Linked DNA regions of Arabidopsis thaliana. The protein of the gene in region 3 interacts with the protein of the main gene of each other region in a pairwise test. Each region holds a gene or a part of one and is shown on either strand. Other genes may lie near its edges. The genes, in order: FOLK, AT1G01230, DER1 and AT1G69460.

What was found.
Region 1: the proteins of DER1 (region 3) and FOLK interact in a protein complementation assay, tested with the Arabidopsis thaliana proteins (one large-scale study listed by BioGRID).
Region 2: the proteins of DER1 (region 3) and AT1G01230 interact in a protein complementation assay, tested with the Arabidopsis thaliana proteins (one large-scale study listed by BioGRID).
Region 4: the proteins of DER1 (region 3) and AT1G69460 interact in a protein complementation assay, tested with the Arabidopsis thaliana proteins (one large-scale study listed by BioGRID).

What each region holds. Positions count from the first base shown.
Region 1 is NC_003076.8:23,667,519-23,673,670, forward strand, and holds FOLK (Phosphatidate cytidylyltransferase family protein), read left to right. Parts: upstream 1-2,748; 5' UTR 2,749-2,994; coding exon 2,995-3,309; intron 3,310-4,112; coding exon 4,113-4,180; intron 4,181-4,266; coding exon 4,267-4,398; intron 4,399-4,537; coding exon 4,538-4,653; intron 4,654-4,759; coding exon 4,760-5,052; 3' UTR 5,053-5,351; downstream 5,352-6,152. Other genes in the region: EOL2 (ETO1-like 2), read right to left, coding at 1-956; AT5G58570 (uncharacterized protein), read right to left, coding at 5,352-5,612. UniProt on the Arabidopsis thaliana protein: Kinase involved in negative regulation of abscisic acid (ABA) signaling. Substrate preference is farnesol > geraniol > geranylgeraniol, but has no activity with farnesyl phosphate. Can use CTP > ATP > GTP = UTP as phosphoryl donor.
Region 2 is NC_003070.9:94,699-100,147, reverse strand, and holds AT1G01230 (ORMDL family protein), read right to left. Parts: upstream 2,737-5,449; 5' UTR 2,529-2,736; coding exon 2,343-2,528; intron 1,692-2,342; coding exon 1,543-1,691; intron 1,241-1,542; coding exon 1,102-1,240; 3' UTR 908-1,101; downstream 1-907. Other genes in the region: AT1G01225 (NC domain-containing protein-like protein), read right to left, coding at 2,906-3,594, 3,991-4,084; FKGP (L-fucokinase/GDP-L-fucose pyrophosphorylase), read right to left, coding at 4,596-4,988, 5,073-5,449.
Region 3 is NC_003075.7:14,442,120-14,448,074, reverse strand, and holds DER1 (DERLIN-1), read right to left. Parts: upstream 3,523-5,955; 5' UTR 3,139-3,522; coding exon 3,122-3,138; intron 2,525-3,121; coding exon 2,389-2,524; intron 2,283-2,388; coding exon 2,209-2,282; intron 2,122-2,208; coding exon 2,028-2,121; intron 1,779-2,027; coding exon 1,650-1,778; intron 1,568-1,649; coding exon 1,407-1,567; coding exon of another isoform or gene 1,370-1,406; exon of another isoform or gene 1,313-1,369; coding exon 1,123-1,312; 3' UTR 838-1,122; downstream 1-837. Other genes in the region: PRF4 (profilin 4), read right to left, coding at 226-357. UniProt on the Arabidopsis thaliana protein: May be involved in the degradation process of specific misfolded endoplasmic reticulum (ER) luminal proteins.
Region 4 is NC_003070.9:26,110,835-26,115,576, forward strand, and holds AT1G69460 (emp24/gp25L/p24 family/GOLD family protein), read right to left. Parts: upstream 2,423-4,742; 5' UTR 2,327-2,422; coding exon 2,114-2,326; intron 2,036-2,113; coding exon 1,826-2,035; intron 1,514-1,825; coding exon 1,437-1,513; intron 1,365-1,436; coding exon 1,220-1,364; 3' UTR 854-1,219; downstream 1-853. Other genes in the region: AT1G69470 (heat shock protein-binding protein), read left to right, coding at 2,741-3,163; AT1G69480 (EXS (ERD1/XPR1/SYG1) family protein), read right to left, coding at 3,353-3,595, 3,671-3,949, 4,046-4,195, 4,282-4,326, 4,396-4,500, 4,587-4,742. UniProt on the Arabidopsis thaliana protein: Involved in vesicular protein trafficking. Mainly functions in the early secretory pathway.

The DNA.
Region 1 (6,152 bases), on a different chromosome or scaffold from region 3:
TACTCTACAAAGGTTAAAGCTTTATCAAGGTCAGTGACAGAAGCAGCCAAGCGAGCCTCACATTCAGACTTCAGATCATCGCAACAGAATTTGCTGGCTAATTGAAGCAGCTCAAATACAGTTTCCACACGAAACAGATCAACTCTTTTGATTCTACTATATATGTTGAGTGCCAACATTGCCTCAATAGAGATGCCATTTTCCGAGAAATCAATCTCAGAAGTTGTTGATTCCACGAAAGAACCATACAACATGGCCTCAAAAGGACGCGAAAGCGCTGCGATTCTCGACCTAACACACTTAGCCTTCTCTGAACCTACGCAGAAGGAAATATCGCTAACCTCATCTAGACCCGAAAACTCATCAGCCTTAGAGATTTTAACGTCATCACTACCAAATTCATCCTCACATACCGTAGAACATTCACAACCCTCGTCGTCTACATTCAAATCACAACCATGAGTCAAACTAGTCTTCGGACATTCAGAAGCAAGCCCATTACAATCCATAGATTCAACTCCCACAAGTTCATGTTCTCTCCTAAAAAATCTCAACCAAGCAGAGAAAACAACCTTACAAGGGACATCAATGGCGTGCCTCCTAGCGTTGAGAAGGCACCTACGCAAGAGCTTGGCATCACCGAGACTGCGGAGAACAGCGTACTGCTCAAGGTAGAGCATCGATGCCTCGGATTCCGAACTGGACTCGATTCTCCGATATAGATTTGATAATGACTCCACCAAATCGATAGGTTTGAGGTAAGAGTCCAAGGGAGGCTCGAGGAGGTCTGTGGTGGGAAAGCCATGAGGGAGAAGTGAACGAGATTTGGATTTGGGATGCCCAAGGAACTTCATCATTCGAGGGCTACCATTGCTGCTTGTAGAGGGAGAGTCTTGTGTAGTAAAGGCGTGGACTTGAGTGCTTTTAAATCTCTCAAAGAGTTTGAGATTGCGCATTTTGCTATATCACAGAAATCTGAGAAAAGGGTTTGATTTTGAAGTAAAGAGAGAGTGAGGGAGACGGAGAGAGCAAGAGAGAGAGAGAGAGAGAGAGAGAGAGAGAGAGAGAGAGAGAGAGAGAGTTGAAAACACAAGCTCTGTCTCCGGTGACAACACACAGTGCAGAGACAAAAAGGAGAGAGAGAGAGAGAGGAAGAAGAAGACGATGAAGTGTGATTGAGAATATAAATTATTTTTATAAAAAGGTCAATAATTTGGGGAGAAAAAAGAGTAATGGCGTCGATTTTTGCAAACCCAAAAAACATTTATATGGAAAAAAAATGGTCGAATCTCATATCTGTTTTTCTTTCTTTTATGCATTTTTTTGTGGAACAGTTTACGAACTTCAACAGTTGGTGGTTCTTATTGGGTGCGATACGAACCAGACCACTTTCCTTTCTCTTTCCTTTTTGTGTAAAGACCACTTTCCTTTTTTAAAACAATATTTTGTTTCTGTTTTTTTGGTGAGGAAATATTTTGTTTCTTTGTTAAATTGTTATTTTTTTCCATATTTGAAGATATTGGTATGGCTTTTAATTTGTGAAAATTTGGGTTTATTACAGAGTTATATGATGATTAAATATAGTTTAGAGAATTATAGATGGTTGGTTCGTTTCGGGTATAATTAAAATAAGCCTCTCTGACTATCCAACGTCATTGATTCATGTGATGCCAAGATAGGTAGGTTAACTAGTTATGTGGTTTCTTATCGGTTATCTCCTATCTAAACAATTGAGCTTAACATTAAACTTTGAAGATATTAACTTATCTCTCTAATGAACGAAAAAAATTCAGTTTTATTGGTTGATTGGTTATGATTTCAATGACTAACAAAGAAATGGTCTTTAATTTATGTACAGCATGAATTTACTCAATTTATTACATACAACATGATTTCAAAAAATTGCTTAAAATTTTGCAAAACATTTCTTTACTGTGATCACACTAATCATTTGTTAATCTGGTGTCTACTTTTTTACTCGCTAACGTGAGCGTGTATATTTATATTTTCTGAGATCTTCATAGTTTTAGGTTTTTAGCTTGTAGTTAGTTTTTTTTGTTCTCGATATTGGACCAACAACTATCAGGAAACGCATAATTTATTATATATATAAAAAACTCTCATAAAACGTACTGTATTAAAACAATAACAAATAAAAAGTGGAGAGAACTATATCCAGAACCAATTCTGATGTTCTTTTGCCCGCACACCTGGAAAACACATGCAAGTGTACTCTTTAAAGATAAACATATATACCATTTGCGAAATAATTGAGGATTTTTTTTCTTTTGCCAACAGATAAATAATATAAGATTGTTTCAGAAAAAAAATAAAGATGGATAATTGAGGATTAGGTTGGCATTATTTGATGCAAAAAATACTAAAGAAAATCTCACATTGAAATCAATTAAAATAATTTTCTTATGGTATATACAAGTTGATGCAAAATTGATAAAAGATTAAACAAGGCAAGAGACGTGTGGTCATGTGTCTCGGCAACCCATGTGAGGGAATCTGAATCACTTTTTTTTTTTTTTTTTTTATGTTTCTCGAATCTGAGTAGCACAATAATTGAATTGTGTTTCGTAACTAAATTAGGGATTTATTAATCATGAAAAATTATTTGATGAAATCAAATTGTGGTCCGTCTAGTTGACTTATACCAGCCCAAATTATTTAGCGAATATAAAGCCCAAACTAGGCCCACAATAACAAATTATGCGTTTCCTCAAACGAACACCACCATGTCATGAACCATTCTAGCCGAATCCAAATAGAACGAAACTAAAATTGCTTTAATCCATATGTGACCAGATAAAGTAAAACACTCCTTTTGGGGAAATAAATATCCACTTTTCACCATCTTTTTGGTAAACAATAAAACAAACCAAATTTTGTGTGCTTGAGCAACAACAACTACCAACCAGTTACTGTCAAAAAAAATAAATGAAAACGTAATCGAAGAAAAGGTCGTGTTTTCTAGTGTTGCAGAAAATGGCAACTACTAGTACTACTACAAAGCTCTCCGTTCTCTGCTGCTCTTTCATTTCATCTCCTCTCGTTGACTCTCCTCCTTCTCTCGCCTTCTTCTCTCCGATTCCACGATTCCTCACTGTCCGAATCGCGACTAGCTTTAGATCGAGCTCTAGGTTTCCGGCCACCAAAATCCGCAAGTCTTCACTCGCCGCCGTGATGTTTCCGGAAAATTCGGTTTTATCAGATGTCTGCGCGTTTGGAGTCACTAGCATCGTTGCGTTCTCGTGCCTCGGTTTCTGGGGAGAGATTGGCAAACGTGGCATCTTCGACCAGGTTTTCGATCATTCAATTCACTTAATTAAATTATACACGCGTCGATTTGTTGAATAACGTTTTTGGAATGTTGCTCGATTCTGCAATTTCTGGTTAAAGCAACTTTGGATTCAGAGTAATGGTAGTAGTAAGCTTTATCGAGTAATGGATGGCATTAATGGCGAGGATAATAAATCTTATTAGTTCAAGAAATTATAGAATGTGAATGGATACCTATTTTGGGGTGGAAGAACACTGCGATAAACAATGGGAAAGTAACCCCATATCTGGTAAATTAGTGGGAAAATTGCTCAGAACCCAATTTGGGGATGAAATTTTTTTGAAATTCGTGCGGTATAATCACAATCTCATCGTAACTTGAAGATTCAACCATATTTATGATATATATGAATTTTGTAGGTTTAAATGTTGCACAATTTCTTTGCTATACTTTGAAGGATTATTTCTTCGTATGAGTCAGTCTATACACATATTGGACATGGCTTGTTTTTTTTTCCTTTCTCTTATGTGTTTCTCCGCAGTGACTTGTTTTTCTTCAAGTAATTTGGTTAGGAGTAGAGGAATTATCTATGATTAGCAAAAATTCTATTAAACATTTTTGGTTTGGGAATACCTGTATGGCTTCAGCTACTTGATTTTGTTTCTCTGACCTTATCGTGATTAAGATATCATCTCAGAACCCATTGAATTTATAAGATCCACAGGCTGTCTGATGTAGGACTGACTCCACTTTCATGGTTTTATTGAATGAGGCATTGGTTTAACATCTGTGGTTGACATTGGTGTTATTTCTTATTTTTCAGAAACTCATCCGGAAGCTTGTGCATATAAATATTGGGCTAGTTTTTATGCTTTGCTGGCCGCTGTTCAGGTAATAATACGGAGTGAAAGGATCGATTTTGATGTACCAGCTTGCTTTTCTGCTTCACCAGTTTATTTCGATATCAATTGTTTCAGTTCTGGAATCCAAGGAGCACTTTTCGCATCTCTTGTACCTGGACTCAATATAGTAAGGATGCTATTGCTGGGGCTTGGAGTGTACCACGACGAAGGAACAATCAAGTCAATGAGCAGACATGGAGATCGCAGGTAGCTGAATCGAACAAGTGTCTGTCACAATATCCAACAATCTCTTAGCATTCTTGGTATCTATGATCAAAATTCGGTTTGTCTGTTTATTATTGCTTTTGTCACTTCACAAAGTGTCTGTAGTCGCTCTCTGCATCAGGGAACTACTTAAGGGGCCGCTTTACTATGTACTGTCAATCACATCAGCCTGCATCTACTATTGGAAATCATCCCCAATCGCGATTGCGGTGATATGCAACCTTTGCGCAGGAGATGGTAAGTACAGTTAGCTCTGGTTTGATCCAATAACATTAGCAACTTTTGTCTTAGGAATTTGAATCCATTGAATGATGATTCTAATACACACACTTGCTGTTAAAAGGTATGGCTGACATTGTGGGTCGGCGGTTTGGAACAGAGAAGCTTCCTTACAACAAAAACAAATCATTTGCTGGTAGCATTGGAATGGCCACCGCCGGGTTTCTAGCATCTGTTGCGTATATGTACTACTTTGCTTCATTTGGTTACATCGAGGATAGCGGGGGAATGATTCTTCGTTTCCTCGTCATCTCTATAGCATCAGCTCTTGTGGAATCACTCCCAATAAGCACCGACATTGACGACAATCTCACCATTTCCTTAACCTCTGCCTTGGCCGGATTCTTACTCTTCTAATAATACCCTCTCGTTGTTATGTATCATCAAATAAAGGGTCGAGCTTGATTGCTGATATGGAGGTAAAACTGCATTCATTGTTCCCATCTTCTTCTGTATGTACGTATTAGTGAAACATCTCATATTGTTGTTGTCCACAAATCTTATTTTTCAGCTGCAATTGCAGTTGGGTACAATGTTGTAATGTTCTATCCATTAGTGAGACATATGATGACGAACAGTGACGCTTCTACAATTTGTAACAGATACTCTTTTGTAACAGATATTCAATACATGTTTGTTTGTTATTTGGCCTATGGCTATGTGGAAATGGATTGTTTGCTTACAACAGGTGAGGGCTTGAGTGTCCCGCTCCAGGAAGCCTCTTCTGACAGGTCGGACTGGTGACTGTAACGGCGTTTCAGACAAGGAAGCAACACGAGGAACAAGAGGAAGACGGCGAAGCTGATGACAAGAACTACCGTCAAGATCTCACCATGCATGGCGTAGTGTCTGTCTCTAGTGAAAGTAAGTCGTTCGCCATCTTCAGGACTCGAGGCCTCCACCGTAGAAGTTACCATTAGAGAGGTAATCTCAAATATTCTCAAATCTCAACTCCTTTGCTCATACCTACTTCATACTGTCATGCATCATCTTGGAGGGATTTGTGTCTGTTTCTTTTTCCTCTCTGAAATATAAATTTGACTTGGGAGAATATGTATCAAATGAAAACAATATGTCACCACAGAAGAAAAGAAGAGTTTAAATATATTTCTTTGGGATAATTTAGTAGATGGATTTTTGTATAAAGGTTGGTGTAGAAAGTGAGACTGGGACGTTCGTTAGTGATTGCTCTCTACATATGGGGCGTTGGATTGGGTCTTTTTGGATCTTACGTGCGACGTCGTTTTCGTAATTTGAAGAAAATCCTTTTCGTGTGGCTCCCATAACCGACTCCGTGACTTTCCCGGAAATTTCCTCAAGAGAGAAGCGACCTTGTGTCTCATGTTAGTTGCTTCTTCTTCTGCCCTTATTTATATGAATACAAAAATTAATTACTCTTTGATTTGGCCCATTTAAAATTGCTAACTTCTTCACGCATTCTCGAAATAGAAGAAAAC
Region 2 (5,449 bases), on a different chromosome or scaffold from region 3:
GTCTGATGGAAGAAACTAGAAGAACAGAGACTTTTATCTAAACAAAACCACGAAAACAGAGCAAAAGAGTAAGATTTGTAAAATAGATCAGAAAACGAAGTAACAACTAAAGATACCATTATTAGTAGTTTAAAGAATCCATGAATCACTCTAGAAACAAATGAAGCGATCTTGCGCGACCGAAGCTTTTGGCTTTTCTTCTCTTTTTTTTTAATTTTCGTTTCTCACACTCTCTGGCCCCATGGAACCAAATTTACAGTTTCTTCCGTAAAAGCTTCCGAGTTAGGGACACAAAACGACACAGTTTCAATAACTTGTTTGGCTTGGTAAGCATCTGAAACAGCTGGATTGACAACACGTGTTGGCTAAAGAGAGAATCGACGGCTATTACGATATGGACCCTACTTTCGATTTAATGGATAAGATGTTTTTATTTATTTTCTTACATTGGACCACAATAAGAAAAAAAAAAAAAAAAATCATTAGTCTTATTCCAACTTTAATTAGTCATTCTTTCGTTTTGTCGGCTTTAATTTTGCAGGATATATCATGTTTTCGGGGTCCAATTAGCATTCTCTTTTTTTTTTTAATCACGTTAATTGATTACTTTTGTTAGCTTTATTCAATTTTGAAGAGGGATTAACTATTTTGTATACGTACACCATGATATAATATCCATCCAGGTGGACTTTAACTATGACACGTGTCATTAACCAGCTGTTAGAGATCTTGTAGGCAGCCACGTGTTCTTTAGATCCCACTGAATCATTACGCTCAATCGAAAACATTCTGGTGTTATGATAACTCATGAGTCACCACGACAGGAATCTTTGGGCCATTGTTAAATTCAATTATTGTTCAAGCCCATATTGCTATTAGGCCCATTATCTGAAGTGAAGTGGGGAGATGAAGGGAAAGCTTTTTCGTGTCTATTATAAAAGGTAAAAGATGAAAGCTTCAAAATTAGAGAGTTTACTTACAAATATCCAACAAAAAACATGACTCGAGAATTAAACCAACTCATATGAACATTTACACATATATATGTTCGCTTATATCCCCTTTTCCTTCTTTCAGGTGTTCTCTTGCCGTAAAGGAAACTTATTTATCACCATTGATACCAAAGATGCGTACCTTGTGCATGTTGGGGAACTTGGCAACAACGAGAACCATCACAGCGAGTGTGTTGAGGAACAGCCATGGATGTCTGTAATCTGTTGTATGCGATGCAATCAAGTACCTGTTTTAAATGTGTCGTTATAAAGTCAGAAAACAAGTACAAAAGCTAAAGAGCTCAATCTTAAAAGTTCATCCAGATAAATGCAGCTCTTGTTTATACACATTATCGCGTATACAGAGTTCTCTAGAACTAGTCCGTTACACATCACCGGATTTAGATATGTGTATTGAGAAATTAGCATATTTATTAACCATATGAGACACAAGGATATATGCAGCTAAAGAAAATAATTTGCTAAGAAAATATAGATTGGAAATAGACAAGAGTGGTGAGATTTTGAGGAACAAGGTGCTGGGACTTACAGAACAACAGGAACTAGGGTAAGAAATTTGCGGTTGCGGGTAAGCTGTTGACCATTGTCCATTTGTTCCCACCAAGTTAAACCATTGTAGATTCCTTGGTCATCTGCAAAAGGAGTTCCTTTCATCCAGTGGAAGCTGTGATACGTTACCTGACAACAAATATCCACAAATTTCTACTCAGACATCACATTTTCCTAAAGAGTAATTAGAAATTAGATTAAATTTGGTTTTGACAATCAAGCAATGCCAATTTACAAGTCACCGCATTATATCAAACAGTTAGACCTTAAGAAATTGCATTGATGCCATAGGTAGTTTTAGTTTCTGATATCAAAAACTGATAATTCATTAACGAGAAGGTGCATCTTAATTCGAAGCCTGATCCAAAACCGATCAATTCAAACTTAGAAGAGAATTGCATCTTACTTAAAAGCCTGATCAACTCAACAGTCAACACTGCTGATAGTATCCAAACAGATCAATTCAAAATCGCTGATACCAAAACTGATCAATTCATTGATAAGAAGGTAACTGTATCCTAATTCGAAGCCTGATCCAAGCTCAACGATATACGATAGCTAAAACTGATCAATCAGAAGGTAATTGCCTCTTCATTCGAACCCTAAACCAACTAAAAAATTGCTAATAACCAAAGAGATCAATTCAAACACTAGAGCCAGATTCACATCCAGATCTCAGGAAATAAAAAAAAAACAAGGAATCAATCCATCATCTAATTTAAAGTCACAACCCTAAGTGAAAAAATCATCTCTAAAGCATAAACACAATCGAAGACTTACAACGAAGTGAGCGAGATTAACAACAGTCCAAGCCATTCCAGGGGAACAACCAGAGACAGAGAGAACAACGAGCCAACCGAAGAAGAGAATAAGCATGTAAGTCGTCCAAACTCCTGGATACATGAACCATTCCGTATTCCTATTCATATCCGGTGGTGGAACCGCTTTCACATACAGATTCGCCATTTCTTCTTCAATCAGATCGGATCGGATCGAATCTCGTCTTCTTTTGATCAAAATCTTATATTAACACCTGAACTAAAAACCCAGATTCACAAAATTCTCTATTTCGGCGAGAACAAGGATTGTTTGTTTCTTTGGTTTAATTTTGTGTGCCCGTGAAAGACGACGACTGCTTTTTTGCATCTACACTGGGCATTAATTAATTATTGGGATATTTTTGACATTACCCAAACCAAAACGTCTGCGTTTTCATTTTGTACAGACAGAAAATAGGCCAACAAATGCAATAAAGGGAACATAAAACCAACATGAGGATTCTAACTGAAATGTTTTCTTATGTATATCGAAATTCGTGAACAAAGGTGATAGGTATCTGTTTGTCACCTAACATAGTCGGTATCAGAATCTTCTTCTTCGTCTTCTTCTTCTTCTTCACCTTGCTCAATGGTCTTTACGTCAAGGTTGAGAGCCAAATCCTCAACTGAGACCTTAATGACGTCGCTTCTAACACCAATATCGGTAGCATAGCGACTCATACAGTACATACCAGCAGTAACTGTTGCCACACCAATGGGACTTGGAATAAGCAATTTGAAAGGAGAAGAGAGGAGTGCAGCCAAAGGAGCACCAACAATTGAAGAAGCTTGACCGCTTCTCCCTACACCGAGCTTATCCATTATAAGCAAACCGGTCTTGCAATAGAGCGCGAAATCCTCACAGTTGTTCTTGAAAATGTCGTAGTTGCCAAATCCGTTTTGGAGAAGGTACATTGCCCTGTGGATGACTGAATCAGTTGTATCAGATTGCGCGGTTGTGCAAGTCCCTCCGCGGACTTTGGTTAGGAAAACCGATGGACTGACTCCATATTCGAAGCAGTAGAGTGAGCCGTTCTTGAGGAAACAGTCTAAGCAAGAAAGGACTACTCCACTGTCCGGTTGTCTGAAACCGCAATCAGGAAATATGGAACAGATATCTTCAGAGGAAGATGATGATATTGATGATGTTGATGAATCCATGGGGTTGTGTTCAGGTCTGAAATGAACAACTTTGGACCCACCGACAAAGATTCCTGCAAAAATCCACAATCAAATCAAAGCCCATGAAGGAATGTCTACAACAGTATCAATTCTTCATCACCAGAGGAAATTGGGATAAAAATATGTCAAATAAACAAAAATCATCTATAAAGTCCATCAGAGATCAGAAGATATGATGGAATAACATCAAAATACAGAGCCAGGGTGAAATTAGGTCATGCAAAGATTGGAATATAGACCATTGTCTTCAAGATCTATCTAGATAAAGTCGTCAACTTTGTGAATTTACAGTTTCAATAAGAAGATTAAACCGACCAGTAGAAACTAAAAGAAAAGACTTGCATTGAGGATAATTTCACTTTTTGATGTTATGATTGAATGAACGAGAAAGAAAGGAGCAAACTTGGGAAGAATGAATCTAAAGTTACCGTGGTGAGAATAAGCGAAGATTGCTCTGTAAGTATAGATGTGATCTCCTGGCTTTAGCTCTTCTCTCTCAATCTTGTTCGTAAGCAAACCCATTTTTCTTCTTCTCTCTCTCTCTGCACAAAGCTTTTTTTTACCTTGCTTGTGGAAAATGCAGGAAACGGCGTTACAAGTGTAAGCTCTAACGGTGGGATCTGACGTCAGCGAGATAGGTAAGGTAAAGTAACGTTTTTTGGAGTGGCATTATCTAATTCGATAAACGAACTAGAGAGAGCTGTTGAGCAAACCCGTTACAGAGTCTTTTAACGGCGTTATCTCCAAATCCAAATGCTACCAACGTACTGATTTTCCGGGGCCTTTTGACCTTGATTCCAGGCAGGGGTAATACGGTCACTTCACAGCTTGGTGGTCGTTGAACTATGAAGTAAACCAACCAGAAGCAAGAAGAGAACGACTTGGTCAAGCAAAGGATTTTGTTTACCACACGACATCGTTTTTAATTGCAAATCTGAAAGATTCTTCTGCTTTTATTTTTTCCAAAGGTCCCAAAAAAATATATCAATTTACAAGAATCAAGATGATGACACACTGACACTGTATGTATCTTTCAAATACAGATGCTCCAGTTGTAAACTTTGACATCAAACTCTGCATGTTCTTCCAATCTCTGTCTTAACTCCTTGGCTTTCTCTGCGTCCTTAGCCAATATAAGTGAGAATCCACCACCACCTGCACCTACCAGCTTGAATCCTGAGCTATAAGGTTGCGAAAACTCAAAAAGCTTATCCACAAACTCATTGCTGCAATACGGATCCAGCTCTTGATGCAGTCTCCAAGCTTCTGACATTATGTCGCCTACCTCGTCAACTTCACAGTTCATCAACGCTTCTCTACCGGATTTCGCCAGCTCCGTCAATCGCTTAATGCTTGAAATTAGGAGATTATCTCTTTGCAAATACCTTGTAACGACCTTGTGTAGGACTTGATGAGCTAGCCTGACCTGTTTATATAAAAAAGGCATAAAATGAATGAGACTCTGTAGCTAACAAAAAATCTTTTCTTCCTCTCAGTGGTTGCTACTTACTTGACCCGTGAAAACAACAAGGAGGCGTTGCTCCAACTCTGAAATTAGCTGTGGCGAGGCGAGTAAAGGAACAACTTGAAGACGCATAGGGATTCCTGGAAAACTTGAAGTGAATTTGATTCCTGGATATAATCCACCAATCTGATCTTGCCAGCCACCTCCTGTACCCATGAGTTGCTCCAGAACCAAGACAAGTCTTGCAATGTTTTCATTGCTTTCATCTCCATTAGATATCTGGAGAAGTCCTTTCACAACAGCTGCAGCTAGAATGCTCGAGGTTCCTAGACCACTGCCACGAGGAACATTGGCCCATGTCTTTATTGCTAACCCTGTGGAGTCAACAAAATTTTCTTGGACAATGCCGGTTACCAATAGAG
Region 3 (5,955 bases):
CATGAGACAACATGCATCATTTGTTTTCAAATCTATGCAAAACATATAAAAAGAAACACACACACACAAAATACACTATATATATATCCCATGACAAACATTGATAGAATCTAATCAAAACATGATGCATGATCTAAATCACATTGTAAAAACACATATCATATCGGATAGCAACACTATCAGGATCTAAATCACATTGAGATCAGACGCAATGAAATCAAATACCTGAGGGAAGTTGGCGCTCTGAGCCCAAACGCTACCGTCATGACCAACGATAGCGGCAGCAGTAAGGTGGTGTCCTTGACCATCGCCAACATCACACATCAAATGCTCATCAACGTAAGTTTGCCACGACATCTTCTTCTTCTTTTCTTATTTTTTTTCTTCTTCTTTGTTTATGATCTATACGTTAAGTGCCCCGGTTATGTGCAGCGTGGGGACTTCGTCCTTCAGATAAATAGGAGAGGAAGGAACAAGGATCATTTTAAAACCGTTGGATCACATAGACGAATTCTCAGCCCTACATCTTACTTTTTCTTCAAAAAAACAAGGAGTGATTTTCAATTAGTGCCGCTCAAGTTTCGCCTTTGTTATAGCTCAATCATTGTTTCGCTATTTGCCACGTCTACTTTCTTCCCTTTTCCTATTTCCCCTATTTATAAACGATCACCAACGGCATTTTAGAGGAAGGACCGAAGGAATGATTATTTACTCGTTAGTCGTAATCTTGTTAGCCAATAATAATATTATGTCCTAAAAAATTCAAACTTGTTACGACCAAACTCTTTGGTCACGAATTTAATAACTTATCTAGATAGATATTCAAACTCGTTACGTCCAAATTCTTATGTCACAAATTTCATTTGATTATATTCATAGTGGCTATAGTTTATCGAATTCAATTTAGTAAGGAGATGATTGCTAGACAAAAACAAAAACATAGAAACATGAACCACATTTTGAAAAGAACATTGTATTAAAACCTCAAAGATTCTTCCTACAGAGTCATATATTCAAAAACTGTACTGTTCGAAAACACAAAGCTACCTGGGATTAGTTAGTGGCATTGTTTGAAAAAGATTTGATATGATGAAAACAAAGAAACTCGAGAAGATTTCTATTTCAGTCGGTGAGACGATATGATCGACCTCTGAATGCTGTGTTTGAACTCTCGGGTGGGGCACGAGCGCTTGAATAAGCTCCTCCTCCTCCTACTCCTCCTCCAGCTCCGGGTCCTGCTGCTCCTACACCACCTGCTTGTCGAACACTTGCAACTGGAGCTCCAATTCGCCATCTTGCTACGATTTTATTACTGTTGAGAATGTCAAGGTACAACAGCAAAACAAAAACTGAGAAGCGAGAGAAACAATCATCTGGAAATAATCGAGAATTTGAATAAAGGATACACCCATTTTGGGGTTTTCAGGTAGTTTTTTCCGGTAGCAAGAGGATGAAGGACTGTTAGGAAGTAGTATAGATGTCCAGCTATGATGCCAAGAAGATCTGGCATGATCGGAGAACCGAAGATAACATCAAGTGCTAGCATTGCCCATGGGAGGTAGAAAGCCTGTGGAGTAATTCCAACTTTCACCATTAACATTATATATACCAAGGAGTGGATTTGATTACAAAAGAAACACTTTCAATACCTTAAGAGTGACAAGACCGTATAGGCTGATGTTGGCATTTGGAAATTCTCGGCTCCAGAGATAAAGAAGCATGAACACAAGTGAAACACCAAGAAACGGTGTCCAGAAAAATGGTATGACTGATAATACCTGAAATTTGAACAAGGTAACTGTTTTAACACACGGATTTACTAGTATGAATACCTTCCAAAATTTTGTCTCGCTTTAATAAAATGCAACCCTGATTCAATTCTTTGAGAGCTTCTGATCTTCTCAGCTTTGGGATATTATGTACCAGCGATTATCTACTTTGTGGCATACCACATACTAGTACTGGGGTTCTCAAAGAACCAATAACAATGATCAGTAAGAATAGAATACAGGGGAGGCTTTACATACCAATAGAGTGAAGGATCCAAAGATCATCATCCACAAAAAGTCTGCTGTCCGCCTTTCAAATGGCCCTTTCTCGAGTTGAACTCCATATCTTGCTCTGCACAATCATTTAAAAGAGTATGTTAAGATAATAAAAATCGAAATTAGCTTTGTTCATCTATATATGTGAAAATAGTATGCTCACATCATCAAAAGACGTATTCCAAAATTGATAGAGAAACCACCGAGGAAAAACAAGTTTGTTATCAGCCTCCAGATCTACAAACACCAAATAGATCAAAAATTGCAGAATGAATTAGGAACTTAGGATGACAGAGATTTGTGAGAAAGAAAGGAAAATCATAAAAAAGAATAAATCATATACCTGGAACTGCTTAAGTACAAGTTCAGGAATTAAAGCAATGTGAACGGGAGCAACTAAGCCAAGCTGCGTGGCTACTGTAGTGAAAAAGCACAACGTACCATAAGCCTTGGTTATAGGTGGAAGTGAGTTATAGAATCTGCAATCAATAACAAGCGATCTAAGAAACAATTTGACAGATAAACAATCAAAATCATACATATTCCATCCATCTATAAATTTCTAATCAGGAAATGTCATCAAGATCAGCTAAAGCATAAAACTTTACCACAAGAGACAAGCCTACGCAGAGATATTTTAGACTATCGTAGCTAGGAGAATCAAAGTAGCCTTGTAACTATGATACAGCAAACGAGAACAGTTTTGCTTCAAGACACTATGAGATTCCATATTTCAAGAACTAACTACCAGTTGACTTGTACTAACTTCCATGGCATAAAAGATGTTTCTTTACATCTCAAATCACCAAAATATCAAATGATGACAATGCAAATTGATAACTATATACTAAAAATAGCGTTAGCTCAAGTTCACAGAACTCGCTTGGTGTTGCAAAATTACGCTCGAATTGAGAAGAATCAACAGTTGAATGCTTCAAAAACCCCTATACAAGCTAAACGAATCATGAAAATTATTAACCTAAGGACTCAAAATCCTGGGTACGAAGACCAAGCTAAGAATCTCTCGATCAAAATCGAATCGAAGCAAAGTTTCAATAGAGGGGAACGGAACTCACTCGCCAGGAGAAGACATGTTCGTCGATTTTCGAAGATCCGAGGTTCTGAGTCCGATTCAAGATTCGAGATCCGATATAAGCTTTGAGAGCACCGCAAAACAGAAGCTCGAAAGTTCCAGAATTTTTTTTCCTTCTAATCATCTGAAAACTCAAATCACTTGTTTTTGTTAGGCAGCTGCGTAAGTTATCCAATCATACCTTGCCACGTCGTGTTAATTCACCGTCTTGAATACGTGGCACGTTTTAATTTGTAATCGTGTTTAAACTTGTGGGATCAATTTCTCTTCTTTCTGATGCGTCTCTACTCTCTAGTAGTCTGTCTCTATGATGATCCCCAGTTGGCCAGTTTATTGAATTGGGCCAAAGAGGCTTTTATTTGACCCATTAATAGATCAGGCTCGAATTAGATATGTTTATAAATGTTTTTTTCTTTGCCAAAAAAAATAATGTAAGAATATGAACCCTAACAAATTAACAAGAAAAGACAATGCAAAGGGAATCTAATCTCAAGGAATATCAAAATTAGAGAAACATTAGCATTAAAGCAATGATCTTTCGCAAGTATGGTCGGAACCAAAGATCCGAGATTTATTATTAGTTTCAATAATAATGTGTTTTTAAGGTAATTAAACAGAAAATCAAGATTATTTAACCTGGATTAGGTACGGGAGAGGGTCCATGTGCATGTGACGGGTCCCAACCAGATAATCTTGACCCGATTCGATCTCACTCCTTGTCTGCTGACTCATCCTTACGTCATTCCACACAATGCTTTGTTATTTGTTATTTTGTTGGTTTTGCGTGGAACTGCAAGGTAAATTGATCAATAATAATAATGTATTTTCTAATTATAATCTGCTAAAAATAATATTGTAATTTCTCATTAACTGTAAACAATTTTAGTATTAAAAGAATTTTACAATGAATTTCAAAACTGATTTGATGTTGTCCTATGTAGTTTTAAACAAATAGTAGTAGACGTTCTTTTCATAACTTAGAAAGATTATTGTGATATTGAGCAATATCGATCTTCAATGTTTATATTTGAATAAGAATCTCAAGATTTAAAAATAATTTCTTAAACACAATCAATAGGGTTGGTACATAAACAATTACAAGTTTTTTAACAGTAAAAACCGTTTATACCGTTATGTTCTTGTACTGCTTTATTTTATTTTTACCTCACAATAGAACGAGATATCTCTTCTCGTTACAAATCACACCTAGCTAATACAACATAATACCTATTGTTGAATACAAATATTAAGATACGATACGGAGACAATATCTGAACTATAATTAAGTTGATAAGCATTTTTGGCACCACATTACGAGATATGCCAATATGCCACTTGGTTTCTTTTGGAGTATATGCGAAATATAAGTTTGATCAAAGAGTAGTGTTAGTGCTTAGGTGGTTAACATATGTTTGATAAAAAATGTGACATGGTATAGATCATGTGAGTTGTTAGATACGTTATAAGATTTCATTTCATGACCTTATATAACTTATTAAATATTAGTTCGTTGTAATGTTCCTAAGTTAGAGCTTTTTATTGGTCGTTACGTTGGAGGCTACGTAAGTGGGTTTCATGCATAGTCACGCGAAAACAGCTTTTGGACGGCTAAATACCCCTTCTAATTATATGATTGATTAAAAAACATGTATAATCTACACAGTTAACAGTTTACTAACTATACTTTTTTACATTATCGTTGAGAAAATGAATAAGATTAAAGGGTCCCTAGATTAAATGTGAGTGGAAAAGAAAAGAAAAAAGGTTTTGGTTCTTTTGGATTGTTTGACCTATCGATAGAGACATCGCAATGGAACTTGCCAATGGCGAGAGAGGAACATGCAAATTTCATTACATTGTGATAAGTTAAATCCCGGAAAAGGAGGGAGGAGAGAAAACGACATATTTGCAACCAAAAGAAAAAAGTGATAGAAAGATGCGTTTAAAAAAGCAAACAAACTAAAATCATTTATGAACAAGGAAAACAAGAGACCGAGCTTGTCAAATGGCAAAAATGGTGGACCTATCCATGTTTCAGTAATTCGCATGTTTAATGTCGGGAAACTAGTTTTTCGTTTTTTTCTCCCATTGTTTTGTGATAGAAATGACAAATTTAATACTCACAAATTTAAAACCACCCACATATTTAGCTAAACTCACAACTGATAAATGTGATTCTTAGTATTTGAATCGAAAAAGAGTGGTAAGGTAAGTTCAATACTTCCCCACCAAAAAAAATATAACATTAGAAAAATCTAGTTGATCAATAGTGTTAACATGCAAATTCCGTATGTATATGATAAATAGCAAACTATATTTTTCGTGATTTAAATAACTCTGGATGCAAATGGCCGAACATTGTTTTTCAAAACCAAATTGGAATCAGTGGGTTGAACGAATCCGACCAATATCCATATCAAAACTGATTCTGAATAAATCGGACCTAGTGCCTAGTATAGTAGCTTGGCCCTAGCGCATAGCTAGTAAATTGATTGTTCGAGGTTTTGTTTTCATTTGCGAGAAGAGTATTATTACTTACATGCATTGGTTATTTTGTTTCCTTCATTTTTTATCTCTTTTTTTGTCAAAGCCATAGATGCATTGAATATTCATCAGGAAAAAAAGAAAAAATTAGCAACTTGGGCAAATGTCTTCTTAAAACATTAATGTATTACCAAATGCGAAATAGAAGAGAAACTTGTTACGTCCTTTCATAGACATTAAAAAATAGAGAGACATATCTATTTCAAGATCTTTGCACGTGATCGAGATGTTTTTATTGTTTTTGGCTAACATATATCCAAGTTAGAGCAGAAG
Region 4 (4,742 bases), on a different chromosome or scaffold from region 3:
TAGTGAATTGGCTAAATCATAATTTTATTTTCCTTCTTATGATTTAATTGTTGAATATTGATAATCTTTTTTACAATAGTAGTATGACTTGTGATTTTACTTACTATATAAAAAAATACATCGGTTTTTTGCGTAGCGTATTTTTAAACATTTTGATATATCCTATTGGAAGAAGCTAAATTGGAGCTTTCATCACAGATTTTTCTCTGAATCACTTTCAGTTCCGATTGGGTTTGGTCTTCCTCCACCGATGGACAACAACTTCTGTCGACTTAAAGATTCTGGCGTCTCAGATTCTTCGATTAAACATATAAACGGCTTGATTCATCGAAAATCATAGATTAATGATTTTTGATTTTGTCGCGAGAAACAGAGAAAGAAAAGAGAGTGGTCGGGAATAAAAAAGAGACCGAGAAAAAAAATGGGAAAAAAAGAAATGGTTTCTTTTTTGTTTTGTTAAATATGACTATTCAATCACGTTAGGACATGTCGTCGACCCTCACAAATCTCTCTTCTAGCTCTCTTAATTTTACGTATTTTTGAATTATTTTTTTCTAAGTTAATTTAGAGAACTCTGAAATTTCTTAAGAGAGACTCCCATTGGAGATGGCCTTAGTATCTTCAATTTTATTCTCATGATCACTGCCTCCAATTTAAAGATATTGTATAATGGTTTCTCCTACCGACATTCAAACTAGGAATTTTTTTCTAGTTTCATCCAAATCCAAAACCTTAATGGATCTCTGTTTTTTTCTACTTTATTTCTTTTGTAACACGTCTGTATTATTTTTTTGTTCTATTGAATTTGAATAAGATTTTTTTGTTTTTAAAAGAACAATAATAATATGTAACACGACGAAGTACCCAAGGTTCCACTTCTATTCCAAAATATGAAATAACATGTTTACATATAAATTATAAATATCAGAGTGAGTCCAATAATTGGTTCTGATTGAGATAAGCTGTATAATCTAAAACCTCAGACAAACACAATTTATTTGACTTTAAACCATCAAAGTATCCTAAAGGACCAACAAATCTAAACAAAAACTAAACTTATCTTGGAAAAAAGCAAATAAAGCCACACAAATAAAATTCCCAAGTCTCAGAGAACAGAGTCATAGCCATTGATCTAATGTACAACACCCAAAAGAAGAGAAGATTGATTGTTTGGGCTAAGAAAACAGAAAGAGCGTAACCAACCCCGTAGTAGAGAGTTTCAGATAACCTTCTTCTTCTCGAAAAACGTCTTCAAGTGCAAAAACTGCATCCCTGCAACTCCTATGCAGACGAAAAACGAGAGAACACTCAACCACGCCATTTTTGTGTTAGTGGACCGGTTCAAGTCTTGCATCTCTTCTTCCCTGAGACCACACCACAATCAAGTCATATAAACAATATCTTCATAATACCAAACAATAGAGAAAGAAAAGTACCTATCTCTAAGATAATACATCTCTTCATGAATCGAGTTAACAGTATCAAGAAGACTCTTTACTTCAAATTCCATAACCTGCCACAAAAATGCATAACAACAACACACATGGAGGATCAACATAGTAACCAGCCACTAGCTTCAACAATTCCGCTACTACAATTCTGAAGCTGTGAAACTTTCGTTATCTATTCTTATAATCAGACCAGCTTCTCATAATCCACACAAAGAGAAGAGAAATTGAACTCACTTCAGTTCAAACTGATCATAAGAACACACAATGGAGTATCATCAACATAGTAACAAGCCTAACACTAACTTCAACAATTTCGTTATATCTATGTATATAATCAGAATCAGCTTCTCATAATCTACACACAGAGAACTTACTTCGACTTGACTCTTCTTAGCAACATTAGCCCAGCTTTTAGATTGAACACCAGTCTTCCACTCAAAGTCAATACTCAACGAAACCTCAGGCTTATGATCAACAGCAGTGAAACAAGCCATGTAATCACCTGCTTCAACAGCCGAGAATGCGAATTGTCCTGAATCTACTTGTTCCGCGTGATGGTAATTGTTACCGGAATTAGACGTCACCTTCACACATAACCAAAACTCAGATCTATGGACAAAATTTTAACAAATTAGGTCAAAATTAGAAAGATCTGTGTTTACCTTGACGGAAATTTTGTGAGTTTGTGGTAAAGCTTGACCTTCGTGAGGATTATCGATGTTGTATTTACCAACAGTCATTGAATTGCTTTTGATGTCTTCGGCGATACACTTTGTGCGACCTGAGTGTAGATCGAAGTGAAGCGAGTGTGAAATTGGTGACCAAATCGCTAGAATTAGAAGCATCGTCCATAGTTTTTGCGATTGGAGAAACATTTTTGAAAAATCCAGAGAAATCGAATCTCTCTTCGTCTTCCTTTTGCTTCTTCCTCGATTGTGTAGACGAAGCTCGATGACGATGCAAGTGTTTTGACACGTGTATATGTTTTATTGGTTAAAACACATAAGTGTGAACAGCTTCAGATTACAAACCGATCCTGAATTATTTGGTTCTGCTTAATAAACCGGTTTGGTTTAGCATTATGTGATCCTTGCGTCTTAAGGAACCGGTATGGTTTACCTTTGTGTAAATTTCCTTTTTTTAGGGTACAAAAAAATGCAGAACTTTCCTTTTCTCGGTTAAAAAAAAAAGGAAAGTAAACAACGAACACCATTACTTAACTTTGGAGTGAGTTTCTAATACTGAGTTACTTGAGCCGTAACCGTAAGAGATCATTCATGCTTGAGAGAATGTCAAAAAAGATTAACGAGCTTCTTCGTTACTGTGAAGAGAACTATATTGAGAGAGGAAGTCTCGAACTTGCATTACGATGTGCTGTTTCAATCTGCAAAGCGAATCCTGACGCTCCTCAAGCTTATGCACACGTCGCCGCTTACAGAATCCTTTTGACGGCAGCCAATTATCGTACGGTCACAGGAGAGCCTGACTGGTACGCTGTGTTGGGAATCAACAAACGCGGATCCTCAAAGTCTGTGGTGAACGCTATTGATAGGCGGTGCGAGGAGATCATAGAGGTGTTGGATGGCGAAACTGGGGTCTCCAAAGCTGTTTCGAGGGTTTATGATCTGGTCAGACTTGGCGTATCGGAGTTGATGGACGAAGATAGGAGAAGAGCGTATGATCTCCGTTCTGGATTTTCTATTATCAACTGAATCTAAAACTTTTTGAAGTTTTAATTTTTCAAGCAAAGTTTGTAATCTCTCTATGTTTTCCTATGGATTCATGTATGTATATGTCTTTCCATGTTGAACTTTTCCTATTAAGGCTAATATATATCTGTAGTTTTAGTGAATCATCATCAAACATAATCAGAGAGTGTGTTATTAACTTATAAGGATGGCTCAGTCATCTTTGTCAACATCGTCGTCATCGTAGTAATGGAAAGGATGTGGAACTGACTTGAAGGCTCTGTATTTGCCTACATTGTTCAAGTGCTCATTCTCCAACCTGAAGAAGCTCCATATTCCCCGACGAATAATCTCTAAACATGAAATAATGCTTGTTACTGCGATTTTGTGAAGCGACTTCAAGTTGAACTCTAGCACTAGCTGCATCCATGCCACTCTTAGAATCACATTCACTACCTGTCAAAATCAAATATGATTCAACCAGAATCTTTAGAACATGACATATTCTGATGTTAAAATGTTACTACTTACCATGGCTGCAAAATAGACGCTTTTGTGAGGGACCAGTAATTTGTCCCTTAAGTATGGGTTCTTGGAGTGCTTACGGAGGAGTCCCCAGTCTATAACAATGTCCCAGAATGTGTTCATCCCTGTCGCTACACCTGAGCTTACAAGAGCCAAAATCATCCAAGTGCGTCCCTTTTTCAGTTCATACGCTGTTCTTACGATGACTGCAATGATTGTCAACATATATTTCAACGCATTGTATCCGTGTACGGATTCTTTTTCTTCGCATAATCTGCGTATGCACTGCAAAAAAGTGAATACATGTAAGTTATAGATTCGGATGTGACAGAATCAGTGAAGGCAGTAATAAAAAAAGGAAGAGATTGAATTGTGTGAAACCTGGAGGAAGCGGAGCCAGTAGGGTATAACAGCAACGACAAAGTAGAAGGCATTGTAAACACCATGACTATGACACTTGTTTTGCCTCTGCAAGTATTCTCCTAAGCCATAGTAGCAAATGAATAGCTCAAAGCTCCTTATGGCTTGTATCTGAACTTATCAAAACAAAAAACATCAGTCTATTATTCTGATCATTTATTGTCATTTTTCAGCAAACATTAATGCAAATATATAACCTGACTGGTTAGGTGGTCTCCCAAGAAAAAATCTGGAAGTGTGACCTGTGATAAAGGATAAAATCATGAAGATGAATATTGAATAACATCCAGGAGTCAATTTAATACGATTACCTCGTAGAGGGGGGCACATATACAGTGAAACAGTGATCGTATAAAGAAAAACCGACTTGAGCGGTATATGATGTTGAAAGGACAAAAAAGTATGAAAAGAACAATCTGCAAAAAAAAAAGAGATGTTTAAGCCTGACGGATTCCATCTGATAACGATTGCACAAAATGTAAACACCAAAAGAATATCTTACAGTGGCCAAACACAAAGGAATAACTTCAGGGAGTGTCTTATGATGTTTCATCCTCCAGTCCATATCAAGCTGCAAATTTAGCAGGAAACAGACAAAAGCAAGCACCGCAAGACCGGTGCTTACCAGGAAAACTTCTCGGTCACCCAACTCTGTTCC